Linked DNA regions of Astyanax mexicanus. The protein of the gene in region 1 interacts with the protein of each later gene in a biochemical or structural test. Links are inferred from orthologs where the notes say so. Each region holds a gene or a part of one and is shown in the gene's direction. Other genes may lie near its edges.

Region 1 (9,606 bases):
ATCTCCTATTCTAGTGTATAGGAGTGTTTATTGAGGTTGAGTTTATGGACTAATATCTCCTATTCTAGTGTATAGGAGTGTTTATTGAGGTTGAGTTTATGGACTAATATCTCCTATTCTAGTGTATAGGAGTGTTTATTGAGGTTGTTTATGTACTAATATCTCCTATTCTAGTGTATAGGAGTGTTTATTGAGGTTGTTTATGTACTAATATCTCCTATTCTAGTGTATAGGAGTGTTTATTGAGGTTGAGTTTAAGGACTAATATCTCCTATTCTAGTGTATAGGAGTGTTTATTGAGGTTGTTTATGTACTAATATCTCCTATTCTAGTGTATAGGAGTGTTTATTGAGGTTGTTTATGTACTAATATCTCCTATTCTAGTGTATAGGAGTGTTAATTGAGGTTGAGTTTAAGGACTAATATCTCCTATTCTAGTGTATAGGAGTGTTTATTGAGGTTGGGTTTATGGACTAATATCTCCTATTCTAGTGTATAGGAGTGTTTATTGAGGTTGAGTTTAAGGACTAATATCTCCTATTCTAGTGTATAGGAGTGTTTATTGAGGTTGTTTATGTACTAATATCTCCTATTCTAGTGTATAGGAGTGTTTATTGAGGTTGTTTATGTACTAATATCTCCTATTCTAGTGTATAGGAGTGTTTATTGAGGTTGCTTATGAACTAATATCTCCTATTCTAGTGTATAGGAGTGTTTATTGAGGTTGTTTATGTACTAATATCTCCTATTCTAGTGTATAGGAGTGTTTATTGAGGTTGCTTATGAACTAATATCTCCTATTCTAGTGTAGGGGTGTTTATTGAGGTTGAGGTTATGGAGTAATATCTCATTCTAGTGTATAGGAGTGTCTATTGATATTGAGTTTATGGACTAATATCTCCTATTCTAGTGTATAGGAGTGTTTATTGAGGTTGCTTATGAACTAATATCTCCTATTCTAGTGTAGGGGTGTTTATTGAGGTTGAGGTTATGGAGTAATATCTCATTCTAGTGTATAGGAGTGTCTATTGATATTGAGTTTATGGACTAATATCTCCTATTCTAGTGTATAGGAGTGTTTATTGAGGTAGTTTATGGACTAATATCTTCTATTCTAGTCTACAGGTATGTCTTTCATAGGTAATATCTTAACCATTGTTTAATCACATGCTAATCGCTAGCATTTAATGCTGATTAATGTGCTTTAGCATTCATGGCGCTAATGTTAAACGTCTCTCTTGCTTCTTTTTTTTGTTTTGTTTTCTTGTCTCTCTCGTTCATCTCCCACCTGTGCCATCTCTTTCTGTTCTCTCCACCATTCTTATTTCTTTCTTTATTTCCCTCTGTCCATTTGTTCCTCCTTTCACTCATTTGTCTGTCTTCCTTTCTCTCCTCCCCTCTCTTAGTTTATGCTCATTATCTCTATAGGTAATGTCGTGGACAGCGAAGCGCCCTCTTCAGGACAGGAGCTGAGCCAGCAGCAAGGACTCTGAGATATTTCACCGAGGAGGATTTATCCACACCCCTAGAGGACATATTTTAGATTTATTGATTATTCTATTTATGTAAACCAATGGGACATTTCATTTATTTAGTTATTTGTTGTTTATGTATCATTTGTTTGCTCATTTCTACCCCTCTCTCTCTCTCTCTTCTTTTTATCTTTTTTGTGTTCATCTTATCATGTTTAACTCTTATCAGGTGTAACTGAATGTATTATTACGAATCTGAAGTTTGTACATTTATATCTACAGGCAGTTATCTAATCTTTTTATAATAATCCTCATCTTGGAATTGTTTCATATCTACGTTGGTTCATTTTTCGACGGTAAATTTTGAGCTTAAGTGACACTGATGTGGTTTTAACTTAATTTCGTCACTCTTTCTTTCCTGCTTTTGGGTTCTCGAGACGTGTTTCTGTGATTTTTACGATGACTGCGGTTGTATTATTTGAATATCAGATTTGAAGCAGATTTTAGAGCGAGTTATCAACAGACTGTGTTGCGTCAGTGATGGATGGATCCTTATTTTCCCTTTTTTTTCTTCCTTCTCTCCTCTGATACCAAAACACGAACTCTTCGATAAGCCATAAACGTAGCGATGACGAGGGCTACTTTCGGATGCATCTTTTTCAGCAAAAAAGAAAACCCGGAGACTGGATTTATCTCTGCGGTTCCTCGAGTGCTGAACCTTTCCATTCCTTTTCTCCTGCGCGTGGAGCGACGTGTGGAACGAGTGACTGTGTGTGTGTGTGAGTGTGTGTTCGGATTTTCAGGTGTGTGTGTACGTATGTGTTTTCTCCGCTGGACCAACCCCACTGTGGCCTACGCTCAAACTGCAGTGTCCGAGAGTGGCGCGATTTTGAACCCCTCTGACTAAAACCCTGCTACTAATCGAGCCTTATTCCCTCTCTCCTCTGTCCTCCCTCTGTTTTTATTTATTCCCCACATTTCTGTGTGATTTCAGCCTCTTTTCTGTGATTTTAGACATTTGTTCTTATCCTGAGTCATATCAGAAATAAAGGCTGGACTGTGTTTTAACCTGGAGGCAATGTGATGGAATCCTCCTGAACACCCGTTTTCCTTTTTCCTCATTCTCTCTTCATATTCTGTGATTTTTAGTCGATTATGCACAAGGTCTGATCATGTCCTGGATTCCTCTGCATTGTTTTTCTCTGTTTAAAATCTCCTGATCTTGTAACAGAAGTTCTGTACAGTCCAAGTACTTATGAGCTATTTTTTATCACAGTATTATTTATTGCTTCCTTTCAATAAAAAAATACTGAAACTTATTTTCCACTGCCAATAAAAAGACTAAGTCTTTGCGTTAAAAAAACCTGGTGTGTTTTTGTGTTTGTGCTCCTTTCTCTCTTTTCTAGAGCTTTACATACACTTAATAATCAGATCACAATCAGATTTCTGCAGTTTTCTGATTATTCAAGAAACATGCACGTATTCTTTAGGTCTCAGATTAAGATCTAAAAGTGATAGAGCTGGATTTTACCTCAGTATATGGCTTTGTCAGCACATACATACATACACACACTCATTAATTGGATTATTATCACATTTCTGCAGTTTTCGGACTATTCAAGTGGTCTGTAAAGAGCGTAATTCTTAGATCAGATTTACATCTAAAAGTCTAGAAAGATACAGCTCTGGAAAAAAATAAAAGACCACTTAAAACTGATGAGTTTCTTTGATTTTACTAAATAAAAAAAACTCTGGAATATAATCAAGAGGAAGATGAATGATCACAAGCCATCAAACCAAGCTAAACCGCTTAAGTTTTTGCACCAGGAGTGGCCAAAACAAATGATCCAAAAGCAGTGTGTAAGACTGGTGGAGGAGAACATGATGCCAAGATGCATGAAAACTGTGATTAAAAACCAGGGTTATTCCACCAAATATTGATTTTTGAACTCTTAAAACTTTATGAATATGAACTTGTTTTCTTTGCATTATTTGAGGTCTAAAAGCTCTGCATCTTTTTTGATTTTTCAGCCATTTCTCATTTTCTGCAAATAAATGCTCTAAATGGCAATATTTATTTTTGGAATTAGGGAGAAATGTTGTCCGTAGTTTATAGAATAAATCAACAAAATCTCTTAATTTTTTCCAGAGCTGTATATAAGTTGTTAGGTGTGATTTTGTGAGTGAAGCCGAACACTGACCAATATGCTCACAGAAAGGCGAACTGTCAGGGTTTGAGTGAGGACAGATAGTGGGTGCCAGATGGATGGGACATTTAATTTCTAAGTTGGATGGTAAGTTCTGATCTGTAATGTTTAATTCAAATGAAAACATAGTGGCTCTGCTCTGCTGTCCAGAGATTGCCACCATTTAAACTTCACCTTTGTCCTTAATATCTGATTACCCACCCTGATCATATCCACATTCTATGAATTAATACAGAAAATATAATACATATAAAACCTTATTCAGCTTTACACATGTTTATATCATTAAAACCAGCTTTACACCTGTCTGACTCATTACAGCACTAGAACACCGTTTACACTGCTGTAACACACCTTTGCCCTGCTAAAGCACAATTTACACCCTTTACACATTTCTAACACACCTTTACACTGCCCTTCAGTCCTTTGTGATGGTAATAGGGGAACAGTTTCACATGCAGCATGAATATGAAACTTGAAGTGACTACTGTATTTCAAAAGTGAGTACTAAATGCCTTCTAAATGATGACTTTAATATTAAATTTACAATGTGACAAATCATAAAAAGACACTAAACACATTAAATTAGAAGAGCGGTGTCCAAACTTTTGACTGGTACTCTATGGTGGTTTTGTCTTCTCTTCTCTTATCCAAACTTTTGACAGGTACTGTATGGTGGCCTGACAATACAACACAATCATACAGTAGCGGTCAAAAGTTGGATAAGAGAATAGAAGACAAAACAACCATACAGTAACAATCAAAAGTTTGGGAAAGACTTGACAAGAAAGATAAAGGGAGATAACAAAGTAAAAGAAGACAAGGCAAGTCTTCTATTGTCTTGTCTTGTTATGTGTTGTCTTGTCTTCTCAGGTCTTGTCCAAACTTTTGACTGGCAATGCATGCTTGTCATTTCTTGTCTTCTCTTTCGCTTCTCTTCCCAGGTCCAAACTTTGACTGGCACTGTATGCTTGTCTTGTCTTGTCTTCCCTTCTCTTCTTTTCTCTTGTCTTCTTTTTCCTTGTCTTGTCTTCTCTTGTTTTGTCGGATCTTGTCTTGTCTTGTCTTCCCTTCTCTTCCTTTCTCTTGTCTTCTTTTTCCTTGTCTTGTCTTCCCTTCTCTTCTTTTCTCTTGTCTTCTTTTTCCTTGTCTTGTCTTCTCTTGTTTTGTCGGATCTTGTCTTGTCTTGTCTTCCCTTCTCTTCCTTTCTCCTGTCTTCTTTTGCCTTGTCTTGTCTTCTCTTCTCTTCTCAGGTCTTGTCCAAACTTTTGACCTCTTCTCTTCTCTTCTCTTCTCTTCTCTTCTCTTCTCTTCTCTTCTCTTCTCTTCTCTTCTCTTCTCTTCTCTTCAAATCAGTGCTGTGCTCCGGCGCTGCAGTACCGGTTCTTCACCGCAGGGGGCGCTGCAGCTTCAGTCGCAGGAAGTGGGAGAGCAGGAAGAGTGGAGCGGAGAGGAGGAATAATCATCCCACCATTTCAGCGCGGAGAGATATTCACCTAAAACCCGCAGTTAAACCGCTTTAACCTAGGATTCCCGAGCCGAACCGGAGCAAAGCGTGAGTACAGCCCGCTGATACCGGCCGGGGAGCTCGGGGCCCGGGGGGGAAGCTTCTGGAATCAGCGGGACGGAGCTGAATCAGCCACAGGGCTGGATACAGACCCCGCTTTACAGTCTGTTTAACGATTAAAAACACTAATTACAGGGTTTATATTAAATATACAGCTTCTTTTAAACGTAGATATTATTTTAACATCTCAGTGTTGGGCTGAGCTGATGTTAAAAATAGCTAAAATCTAATTGGAAGCTTGTGTTTGGAATTTTCCGGTCCACCTTAAATGGTGCAGCAGTTGCAATATGGTGTCTGCGCTGTTTTAAGGTGGAACGGAAGAATTCCTGAAGGAAGCAGCCAATTTCAGCCTCATTCTCTGCTGGCTGATGTGGCACTTAAAGCTCTTTTTTATAATCTCTAGCTAAATAACGTTATTAAGGACCTTAATTTATGAATAATTAACACTGTTAGAGTATTAGTAACAATGGCAAAAGCCTTTATTTGCATTTATATTTATAAAAATAGCAATAGAAATGCAGCTAAATGGGTGTATCCACACAGAGACTAGCCTAGTTAATAATACTACTACTACTAGTACTACTACTAGTGTTTGGCACTTATTGCTCCTATAGCACTTAAGTCTGTACAGAGTGGCCTAGAGGAGGATGGTTTCCCCCTCTATTACTACTAAAATGTGTGACAGAAATGATGCAAATAAATATATAAAATTAATGTTTGGATGTAGACAGCTAATATTGGACTGCAAAGCATTTAGAATGGAGATTTTCCCATTTATAGGAAAAATATAGACAGTACCTAGGCTTAATCCCTGTCTAATGAAACTGAGCAAAGGAGTTAGTGTTGTGTAATGGGAGCTACTACTACAGGCCTCACACACAGACACACACACAGTCTCTCTATCACACACTTCTAGAACTGGGTGTGGTGTGTGTTACGTCCTGCTTTATACTGATACTCCACTTATTGCTCCTGAAGCACTTAAATCTGTACACAGTGGCCTAGAGGAGGATTGTTTCCTCCTATTTTGGTGAATGTTGAACTTCCTTACAGTGATGCTGGAGGGTTTCTATAGCAATCCTATGTGTAAAGGTGGGCAATACAGTAAATATGTAATGTGTATTTTATATACCGCTTTGGAAAGAAATTAAGAGACCACCTAAGTTTCTGATTTTTTCTGATTTTTTCTGATTCAAAATTCCAAATATTGCCATTTAGAGCATTTATTTGCAGAAAATGAGAAATTGCTGAAATAACAAAAAAGATGCAGAGCTTTTTTTTTTTTGGTGTAATATTTGATGGAATATTGATTCCCTGGTTTTTAATCACAGTTTTCATGCATCAGTGCATGTTCTCCTCCACCAGTCTTAAACACTGCTTTTTGATAACTTTAAGCCTTTACTCCTGGTGCAAAAATTCAAGCAGTTCAGTTTGGTTTGATGGCTTGTGATCATCCATCTTCCTCTTGATTAAATTCCAGGAGGTTTTCAATTTTATAAAATCAAAGGAACTCTTCTTTTTGAATTGGTCTTATTTTTTCCAGAGCTGTATGTATATGTATGTCTTTTGTGAATGAGATTAGACTATGTGACAATAATTATGTAAATAAATGAAACATGTTTAGATAATACAGCTATATTGGGCTACGTAGCATTTAAGAATGGAAATTTTCCCATTTAAAGGAAATAAATGTAGACAAAAGGCTTAATCCCTGTCTATGGACACCTTGTTTCTTTGTTGTTCCTGCAGTTCATATGCATAGGATTATTGTGCCTTGAAAGAGAATAAAGATTTTAACTCCAGAATAAAGATTTTAACTCCACTAACCAAATAGTACCGCTCTCTAGAGTGCATCTTTCAGCCCATACAGTGAGTAGCAGAGGTAACAAACACCACTAATGACACAAAACACCAAACACTGCAGACCTTGTTTAACACTACCTAAATCAACAACAGCAGCATAATCTCACATGTAAGGGTGGGAAATATAGTAAAAATGCTATATCATAATTAGAGCTAGTGCTGGGAGGTTCATTGAATTATTTATCTCTAGATTGTGCTTCTGTCAGAAACCTTTCATATTTTGACAAAGTGGTTATTTTTGCACCTTGTTCAGTATAAAAATGTTTGGTAGCGACTTGCTATTCTTTTAAAATAATTATTTATTTTAACATTAAAATGCCTTAAAAAGCAGTAAGTACTTCCTGATTTTAATTCAATGCATTATGACTTAATAAAGTGCTTTATTCATTCACTCAGAATATTCTAATCTATTATCACAAGATTCTTCTGAGCTCAGATACTGTCAGAAATGAGCCACACAAAACCCTAATGCTCCCACTTCATGAGCTTCATCGTGTCTTAGCTTAAATTAATCCTGTGAGTCTCAGTTAAACCTGTTAGCCTGAACAGTTGGTCAGTATTAGCTGGAGTGATCATCTCAGACCTGTTGCTCTGTGTTAGCTTAGGTAGCATGCTAAGCTAAAATATTTACATAGTCAAATAATTGAAAGACTAGGCAATTAATCAAAACCAACATTTAGAATCTTTAACTGATGCAGTTGTTTGTGTTATTGTTAGTAATGTACTGAAATGAAAAAAAAAGTATATAAATTATAAGAACCTTCAATTTTTTTTTTTTGCCGAAATATGCAGTCATTTAACCACAATTTTTGCATCGGTGCATCCCTAATTTTAGGGCCATATTGTCCACCTCTAGTGTGTGGTAATGTACATGTCCCTTTGAAAACGTACTGTAGCGTGTGTAGTCATGTGACTCCACCCTGTCCACTTTACAACATGTGCATTGTTTATTAAAATGATCATTCATTCATTATTATGGAGGGCAAACGTAGAGATGGAAACATTAATCAATTTTCAGCCGAAATGTGCAGTCGGCAGTCAGACAATATTTTTCGTAAGTTAGTCAATATGATTCGGGAGTTCCTTCCTACAGGCTGCAGCGAATGAATCGCTCAGACTCAGCTCAGATTCAAGATTTAAAGAGTTTATTGTCATGTGCACAGTAAGAAACAAGTTTTCTCGTACAATGAAATTCTTTCTTTGCTCCTCGCCAAGTATGCTGCATAAAGATAAAAGTAGAAAATATACAATAAAGAAAGAAATAAACTAACTAAATATAAATATTAAATTGGTGTTAAATTTACATCCAGGATGGAAATATATACATGAAAAAAGAATATGTTATGGATATTATTTACAAGTAAGTATATGTTATCTACAGCAGTGGAATAAGAAAAAAGTGCAAAACTTTCAGTAGTGCTATTATAAAATTACTGTAAAGTGAGCATATGCCTCTGTAAAATAACATGTAAACGTGTAGAGTGTAAGGTGCAGGGTTATTCTGGTTATTTAGTTCGGTCAGTCTGATTTTTTTTTTCTTCTTAAAAATGATGTAAAAGTATTGTTGCTTTTATTGCTTTATAGGTATGGATATTTAAAAGGGGTGTTTGGCTGTTTTATTTATTCAGTGATGAAAAATGGGCTAAAATACCTGCAGAGAATCGTGTTTGAGTTTATGCCTTCTCAGTATCAGTTTGAGGCTGTGTGATTGTTCTTCTGAAGAGCTGATGTAAGGCAGACAGTGCTGTGCTGATGAGCTGCAGATGTGTGTGAGGCTGAATCAGGCCTGCTGGTTTGCTGAGTCAGGCTGCAGCTACTCGCCCCATCCTCTGTTTACACAGGAAGTGAGGGAGAACCGAGTGCCACATCATCTTAACTGATCTTCATTTACTGAGAGAGGAATTTCACCCACGTTCCACAATTTCTCAGTCTTTAATAGATAATGTGTGAATAAAGCTATTCAGAGTGGGATTAGTGTTGAATGCTCTATTTAGAGTTCTGAATGGTGGTGGTGAATGAATCGAGATGTCTGAAGCTTCCTCACAGAAACTTATTACACCATGTGGTTATGAATACACTGCCTGATACCCAAATGTTTGGTTTTGTTTGGGTTCAGTTGCGGTGCATCCCTAAACTTGTTCAAATTTTGTATTTGTTGATTAATGTAGATTAATGGTTATTAAACTTAGTAAAGCACATTTCCTGACTATTAATATCCTCTATTCCATTCTGATTCCTATTCCTCCAGATGTGGAAAGCAACAGCTGGTCGCTCGGTCTCCGTTACGGTGGACGATGGCGGTGATGACTGGGAGACTGACCCTGACTTTGAGGTGAACTCTCTTAGTCTTCTTGTGTGTTTATCTCTGTTTATCTTCTGTTCCTCCTCACTGATCTATATATATATATATATATATATATATATATATATATATATATATATATATATATATATATATATATATATTACAATTTGTATATGTAAAGTACTATAAGAA
Region 2 (9,193 bases), on another chromosome or scaffold:
TTTCCCAGAAAATATCAGTGCGCCTTATAATCCGGTGCTCCTTATGTAGGAATTTTACAAGTCAGGTTGTAAGGAGCAGTAAAGCCACTCTACTGAAGCGCAGCTTTATATAGGAGTTTTAGCTTAGTTTTCCAGCAGTATTAGCGGTACCCGCTAAGCGCTAGCCATTCGGCCATTCAGAGGTGAGTATTATAGGCCTGTAGTCTGCTTTTAACCCCGGCTAGCACTGCTGGAGCAGCATTAGCCTTACAAGATATCTGTGCTAGCCATTTGGTCGTTCAGAGGTGAGTATTATCGGCGTGTGGCCTGCGCGTTTACCATGTTAAAACAAGCTACGTGGGATGAACCGCTAGCTAATATCACCCTGGCTTTCCAGAACACTCAGGCATCCTCAGTGTAGCGCTGGCGGGCGGCAGTTAGATGGCATTAGTTGTAAGCCACTAATGCTAATGCTCCAGCCTTAGTGGAAATCTGGAAATTTTAGCTTACTGTAAATAAATCTAAGCATTTTACTCACCCAAATAAACAGTTTTCAGGAGTGAAATCTGTGTAGATTAATATCCAGCTCTCGTTTGACTTGTCTGACTTACAGTTTTGTTTTATTGTTGTCTATAATCTGGTGCGCCTTGTGTATGAAAATAGACCAGAAAATAGACGTTTATTGATAGTGCGCCTTATAATCTGGTGCACCTTATAGTATAGTGAAGTCTTTGTTTCTGGGAGGCACAGTGGCTTAGTGGTTAGCAGTTTTGTGCGTTTTTCGTGAACGTTGAACTGAACGCAACACATTTGTTAATAAAGAACTTGAACGTGAATTAGTTCACTTTATGTTTCATGAACGGCAGACATCCCTGTAAATAAACGTTGGAATTTGTTTTCCATTGAAAACTGAGTGACATCTGTTTTCTCTTTTGAAACGCAACAAGAGAAAGTTCCTCCCTCCTGTATTCTCGCTGGAGGAGCAAGTGCGCGAGAGAGAGAGCGAGAGAGAGAGAGTGACAGACCAATGACGAGAGTGAGAGAAAGCGCTGCAATTTGAAAAACAATGGCTAGTGGAAGTGATGGGATGGAGACAGACACCGATTCTCCTTATGAACACTTAAAACACTTTGTACTGCTGTTTCATCACCTGGTAAGAAACCCACAATTGCAGTGTCATGAGCAAATGTCTACAATGAGCAGTTTCAAAGAACGTATAGTGATTTCTAGCTTGTAGTGTGAAAAAAAAAGCATTTATTTGAATATCTCACAAAAAAAGTAAAATGAACTCAACTTTGAACTAGTTCAGAATTCAAATCGTGAACTTTGAACGTGAACTGTTCACTTTGAGCATGTATGAACTGAACTGGAACTAGTTCAGAAAAGCTGTGAATTGGAACAACACTGGTGGTTAGCACGTTTGCCTTCCAGCGCTGGGGTCCTGGGTTCAAGTCCCATCAGTCACCTTGTCTGCGTGGGTTTTCGAACGGTTTCCTCCCACAGTCCAAAAAAACATATAAGCAAGTAATTTATTTTTGCTGAGATATTTCCAAGATGTGTTGCCCAGTGCTTATCCTGCTTCTGTTTACAGTGGAAATTGACCCACAGTTTAGACATTAGGAAAAATATCCACATTTTTTTAACCAGCCTACCAATGGATGTCACAAACCTTTACCATGTAAGGATTACTTATATTAAAAATACAAACTATCAAAAGCAAGACAAAGTTATCTGGAGAACTCACGAGGCTGCTGAGCTGCTGCTGATAACGAGCTGCACACTGCTGCCTCCATGGTTTCCAGAAGAGGAATCCAAGTAAATACAACACGAACATGGAGGTCTTCACAAAGGTGCTGAAGAACGGCTTACTGTACTGCTTCTGCACAAAGATGTACTGAAACACACAAACAAACACAACCCACGTAAGGAAGTCATGTATTTCATCCATTTTGTTTTCCAGAACTCAAGCCAGTGAGTTTATCTTTAATTCTGATACATACTTATAAAATATGTTCTTACTACCTCAACCCTTTTAAAAATTAAACAAAGCACACTTTGAAAAGACAGCCCTATCTGAAGTGTACATAACACACTCTTAGCTCTTACAGTCTGAACAAATGTCAAGGACTAAAATCCTTTGCATATCTGAATCCTTTAGAAAGGAAAGCTTTTTACTTTTCATCTTTTTCTCACCACTTATAAATTACAATACATTAGATGTCTTAAGCTGGTGAAAGATGATTGGGCGATGAATAGAAAAGGGCAAGGTTATAACATCACAGCCATTATGAATTTAAAAGGGACTGCTTCTGTAGGTCAACTTTCATAAATGTATGGCCTGGGGAACGAAGAGCAGGTTTAAAGCATTTAGTTTTAATATGGACCATTTAACAATAATAATACTAAAAGGGAAAAGAAGTATAGAGCATAGCACATTATACAAGCATATTATGTGTAAATGTGTGTAAAAAATGTGTACTGTATGTAGATCTTACTGCAGTGAGTTCAGATGACGCAACCCAGATCACATCCACAAGCAGCAGGATGACCACGCCCAGCACCAGCCTCCTCTTCTGGGCACCACATACCCCCCAACTCATCCTACACATACACGCAAGCAATGGAGGTAATGCGTTATTTACATCTGGCTTATATGTATGCATTGCAAACAGTGTATGTGGGTAAGTGTTCTGCAATGCAAATATTTAGCACAAAACCAGCAACACATCCAACCCTATTGGTTGAGTGAAGGTCCTTACCGTGCCGGACGCATTAGAAACGGACACACCGGTCTCGGCCAGCCTCTCTCTCCACGATGTGGCACAAAGCCTGCATCACACAATCACTAAAAGCCAGAGCAAAGACCTTAGAACAGTAAAATAAATAAGTTATAATGTAAATAACCAAACAGACAGTCGTTTGCAGTTATTATTAATGACCATGCTACCAATGAATCGTGTCCATTTAAATCATGATTTCAATTAAAAAACGATTAATCGTTCAGCCCTACTGGCAGAGTTTGTTTGCTAACGCTAACGAGTAAGCAAAACAAGCTAATACACGCTTGTCTAGCACTCTCCTGCCTGGAGAGAAATTTGAGAACAGCACTTTATGGGTCTTTTTATCCAAGTAAAATATAAAAACAACAGAAAACAGCAATTATTCACTTAGGAAAAATATCCTTTTAAATATATTTATAATATAGCTTGAAGGATAATATTAATGCACACTGAATTTAATTTTTAACTGAAAAAAGAAGAGAATTGTGGTTTTTTAATACTGTAAAGTCTCTAATGGCTTCATTAATAACATATTGTAAATTGATGTTTAACTTGTGTTTTACTTGTGCAATAGAGAAATGTTTTTTTAATACCTTAAACTTAAAAGGTATTTTAGGTCAATTCACAGTGTTTTGTAAAAGAAAGGTGATTTTATGGGACAAAGTAAAACCAATAGTAATCAAAGACTTAATGTTTGATATTAGATATACTCCTAACAGTACATCAAGTCACAAACCAATATAAAAGCCCAGTCATGCCAAAACAATAAATAAATAAAATAATAATAATACTGTGATATACCATGAAAGCGACAGAACCTTAAAAAATACAGTGATAGACATTTTGGTCATACCGCCCCACACTAATTAAAAGAAAAAATACAATAAAGCAAATAATAAACTTACCAAATATAAAAATACTCACTAAAATGCTGTTACATTTACAACAAGAATACAACAAAATCACAGCACTATATAATATAGATATTATTCACAAACAAGAACATTACTTATCTACAGTAAGGAGATATGATAAAAATGCTAAATGAACAGTAATGCAATTATAAAGCTGTGCTACAGTAAAATGACTGTGAATGTAGACAGTAAAGTGCAGGGTTATTTCTGAGCTCTGGTGGCAGTTGGGGAAGAACGAGTTCTTTAACCTGTTGGTCTTTATTTTAGACTTCTTGACAGAGTAGTGAACAGAGGCTTGTGACATTGAGACTATGATACATTTTAATTTATAATTTTACCTAAATATCATTACACTCAGCTCTGTTTAGGAAAAAATCAGCTGTGTTTTGATAAGCAGCGCAGCGGTCAGTCAGTCAGAGAGGTACAGAGAGCAGAAAGCAGACTGGAGCTCTTGGTAATTCGGCTCCTCGGTTAATCTAGCTAATGTTAGTGTTAGCTATTAAACACTACATGTAGGTTATATGTAGACATTTAGCTACAGTACCTGCTTCAGTCGGCACGGCCTCGAAACCCGTCTTCATGCGTTTATCAGGCGAGGTTACGAACAATCTGCGGCTTTGTAAAGGATAATAACTCGACTGGGTGGTAAATATTTACATGAGTTTTATGAGCTCGGTCTCCTACTCATGACTTCACTTAGCGCATCAGCATCATGGTAAATGTAGTTCCTAGTTCTGGTACTCTGTCCTGTAGCTTACGTACTAAAACTTCATCTCCCAGAATGCAAAACAGGCGGAGCAACTATTTGCAAGTTTGGCGTGACACTTTTCGGTCGATTCACCATCTGATAAATATAACCTTATATCTCCACTCTTATAAGGAACAATTTACTTTATTTACTGCAGTTCATCTAACAATGATCTAACAGTAATGATTCTGCATTCCTACGAAATTAGGTGGACTTATAGGATATGCCAAAAATACAATACAATACAATAAAAAAATTGCCTGAGGTAAATTATTAAGTAAGCCAATGAATATGTGTGAAGAAACTATAAATATGTGTGGTGTGAGTTTTATGAGATTTTGTATTCTACTTTATATATAATAACGCATTTTAGAACCATTTTTACAAAGAGATTTTTCATGTAAGCTGCATCAAACATTATTATTATTCGAACTTCCTGAAAACTAATTGGAACTCCTTTTCAAAAAGATTCGAATCTTTTAAACGGATCATAGATTCAAACTGCTTTTTTATCGAATCTTTCAGAAAACTGGATTTAGACAACTTTTTAAAGAATTACATTTTTTCTGAAAATTGATTCGAATTACTTTTCAAAAAGATTGTAATCTTTCTCCTTAAAACTGATTTGCAAAAAGATTTTAGTTACTTTAACGAGTGTTAAACGTGAACTCAGATCTGTTATTTGACTGTTGGCACCTTATTTCTGTCTGTACAATGTTTGAATTGTGTCTGTTATGGTTTTATCTTGGAATAAAAGGAGAATTTATACTAAAAACACATTTTTAAGGTTTGAGCCATAGACGTAGACAGACAATCTATGGTTTGAGCTGACACTCGCCCCTCTGTCTGCCTGTAGGCGTCAATGCGCATGCGCCCTCCGTCCCCCCTCCTCACCGGCGACGGCCATTTTCTCTCCGCTGAGTGCCGACCGAGTGCGGAAGTGGCTGAAAACTTAAGGGTTCCGCCTTTAGATTGGCCGCTGACCACACTGTGCTGCTCTTCTGGAGGCAGAAAGCTTTAATACCGGCTTCTAAAACAGCGCAGAGCGGAGAAATGGCTGGGAGGCTGCCGGCGTGCGTTGTGGATTGCGGCACAGGGTGAGTTTTCCAGCCGATTCCACAGTGGCAGTAGCAGCAGCAGCAGCTCTGGGTGTGTGGATGTGGATGTGCTCTGTTAGATCTATTATCTTCCAGTAGAAACCCGCTAATATACGAGCCTGTGGTCGCTTTTCCTGTAGACACGCAGCTCTGCTTTTGTCCACAGTGGACGGGGTGTCAGAACAGCTCTGCTGCTGGGGTGGATGAGGAGCCTGGGTTTGGGTGGTGGCTGTGTGCAATGCTAGGTTAGCTAACGTTATGAAGCCTGGAATGGGCTTTCACTGGCGAGATGTGTAGCTACATATCATCAAAACGCTTCATTCCAGCTCATGTTGAACATGCACACATGTTTACAGACTGCGACAGTAAGCGCAGTGTGCGGGTTTCCAGGTTTTATCAGGTCAGGATTCTCCTAAAAACCCACATTGCCTGATAAATTCTGCAAAACTCATTCTGAGTGGCGCCGCGCATGCGCAGTCCAACTTCCTAATTTTACTGACAGTCAGAGCCGCTTCCTGCTTCTCGCTTTTTGCTCCATATATGGTCGTGTTTGACGTTTGGACGGGATTTTAGTTAGGTTAGCTGTGTTTTATTCTGTCCTGCGGCAACAGACCGTGTTTAACCAATGGTAAAAGGGTCGGTTTTGTGTTTGTAGTTTGTAGTGGTGTTTCTGAAACTGAACTTTGCGCTTGGTTTTGGATGCTGCTTCTCCTCAGCACTGAAGCTAACCTAGATAACAAACCCAGCTAACGGCTAATTCTATCAAATATACAGCAGCACCAACCCCAGCCTTGTTATACCCAGCATATATAGCATTGTTATAGTATTTAGCTGCAATATAGCTACCTGACAATAACACAACCACATTTTATACCTCCACCTTATACTGCTCTGACATACTCAGCACTAAAATAATATCACAATATCTCAGGATATTGCTGTGATAACAAGAGTGACTGTTTGCAAGTTTAGCATGACTGTAGAGAGTGAAGAAAAACATTTATATGTCCAAAACTATGTTTAATTAAAATGTCTTTTTAAAAGGATATAATTGCTTTGTCATGCAATTGTACACTGTCTGGCCAAAAAAAAGTCTGCACCTGGATTTAACTAAGCAAATGAATGAGGTCAGCTGACTACCTAAATATATTGAATATAGAGCAGGTTATTCCATCAATGGATTTTTTCTTTCCTGATTGCACGAGCATATTCCAAGATGACAATGTCAGGATTGAGCTGGAATTGTAAAAGAGTGGTTCCGGGAGTATAAGATCAGCATTTTTACACATGCATTGTTCACCACAGAGTCCAGACCTTAACCTCAATGAAATATTAGTGTGTGAGCTTTTTTTCAGCCAGGCAGTGTAATATCACAGTATCTTAGGATATTTTTGCGGTAACAAAAATTACTGTTTGCAAATGTGTCATAACTGCAGTAGCTGGAAAAAAGTATATATTTACCAAACTGTGTTTAATTAAAATGTTGTATTTAAAGGGTATAATTGATTTTTTTTTCATTATGTAACTGGTCTTAAAATGGCAATAATATAGTTTATTAAAATAATTTTGTGACAATATATCATCCACAAAAATTATCATGGAAGGCCTATCCCTAGTTGAGATTTTCAACAGATTGTAACAATAAGTAAGTCAATCATCTAACATGTCAAGATACTAATAATGCACTCCATATACCCAGGATTGAAGTAAAATTAATGATACTGTACAGATATGCTCTGTCTCTAGTCAATATTTCATGGGAAATGAGAACAGTGTTATTAAGGTCTAACCGTTACACGACCTTATTATATTATTACACCTTATAACCAGCATTAACACTCTTTTATCACTTAATTTTATTTTAATACCGCTTATACACTCTATACCTGTTGTACCCTTAATATTAATTAAACCAAACTCTTAACTGCATAGTCATCCTTTATACTACTATAACTGCTGTTTTTCTCAGCACTAAATAAACAGCATTGTTTAGCAATAGTTTTATACCTCAGTCTTATTTTCCCCAGACATACTATGCCCCACACTAATAAAGATTTTGTACCACCTGTGATTATACTTTCATGTTTATTAAACTCAACATTAACAGCAGACACAACCCTATTATATGTAGACTTATAGCTTTTCTCTCCATATTATGCTATAACTGCATTATACTCTACATTTATACATCATTTACTCAGTACTCAGTACTCAGCAGTAGTACATGGTGTATAGCCATATTATTCTATTAAGCCATCATCATTTACTCAGTACTCAGTACTCAGCAGTAGTACATGGTGTATAGCCATATTATTCTATTAAGCCATATACTCAGCATAAGCGTATGCATAGAGATTATACAGCCTTATTGTCCTGCTCAGCCTTATACTGAGCTTATAAAACCGTATTATCCTGTCCAGTCTTATTATTCTCAGCACTAACAAGGATCGTTCGCAGAGTTTGTATTTGTTAAACAGTATATGATTGCTGTCTTGCAAATCCTTGTATTTCCAAAATAGCAACTTCACAGGAGAATTTTTTTTTTTCATTTTTAATTAAAGTAAAATTAAATTGTTTTATTCCAAGTAATTTTGGACCATTTTATTGCTCTGTCAATATTATTGTCAGTATTGTTCATTTGAAGCTACCACTTTTAAACTATGCCAAATACAGAAACAAATATGAGCTTTTGGCGCAACAGCAGCAATATTAAAACGCATCCTTATATATTTAGTGACAGTACTTGGCTCTGCTTGACTTCAGCTGTTGCTAAAGGGCCTCTTTCTTTCCCCTTTTCCTTCACCTCATCTCCCTTTTTGCACAATATAGATTTTATCTGTTCTCTGTAAAGTTGTTGATGCATATATACTTTTATACTGAACTTGGTATGTGGTGAAGGCTGTTCCCTCTGAAGTGTCAACATGTTGAGACTTGAACATTCCTCACTGCATACCTTTCCCTCCACCCCCTTCGCTTTGAGCCATTACAAGCATCTGTTCAGAGAATGGATGGGGAAGAGTAGGCTGTTTCTGTAGCACAGATGTGTGTGTGTGTTTTTTTTGTGTGTGTGTGTGTGTGTGTGTGTGTTTGTGTTTGTGTGTGTGTGTGTGTGTGTGTGTGTGTGTGTGTGTGTGTGTGTGTGTGTGTGTGTGTGTGTGTTTATGTGTGTGTGTGTGTGTGTTTGTGTGTAACCCAGTCTGAGATGTGTGAAAGCCTCACATCCTCTCTCTGACCTGAACTTCTCTGCATGGTCTGCACCACTGCTTTTTATAACTCATAACGCAATGGAGAAATTTGACCAGCATCAAATCCTCGTCATGTTGAGGCTGCTTCTGCTTCTGCTTCTGCTTCCCTCTTCAACTCTTGTTCTGAAGAGTCAGGGCTGGAGTAATGTTTGCTTTTAGTATTTTTAGTTTCCTGACAGTGCACAATTTTACAGATGTGCTGTAGTCGAAGTGTGGTGGTCACTTCCTTAGATAAATAGACTTATGTAGAGCTAAGATTTTTGGTCCAGTTCTGATCTAAAGCATGAATATTTTATTACACTTAAACAAACATTTTAGTGCAGCTTTCCATCCATTCCAGTCCAAAGCTAGTTTATTTTAACCTAAGAAAATGTTATCTTGACTGCTCAATCTTTTGAAAACTGACCTGCTCTGTTCACTGGGTGCTCTG

Evidence for each region.
Region 2: the proteins of src substrate cortactin (region 1) and actr3 form a complex in vitro, tested with the Homo sapiens proteins (3 studies listed by BioGRID). The link is inferred for Astyanax mexicanus from reciprocal best matches to the Homo sapiens genes CTTN and ACTR3.

Annotation. Positions count from the first base shown.
Region 1 is NC_064416.1:8,139,393-8,148,998, forward strand, and holds the start of src substrate cortactin, read left to right. Parts: upstream 1-5,079; 5' UTR 5,080-5,234; intron 5,235-9,357; coding exon 9,358-9,441; intron 9,442-9,606.
Region 2 is NC_064418.1:35,512,651-35,521,843, reverse strand, and holds the start of actr3 (actin-related protein 3), read left to right. Parts: upstream 1-5,320; 5' UTR 5,321-5,474; coding exon 5,475-5,518; intron 5,519-9,193. Other genes in the region: solute carrier family 35 member F5, read right to left, coding at 1,724-1,873, 2,475-2,580, 2,739-2,752. UniProt on the Homo sapiens protein: ATP-binding component of the Arp2/3 complex, a multiprotein complex that mediates actin polymerization upon stimulation by nucleation-promoting factor (NPF).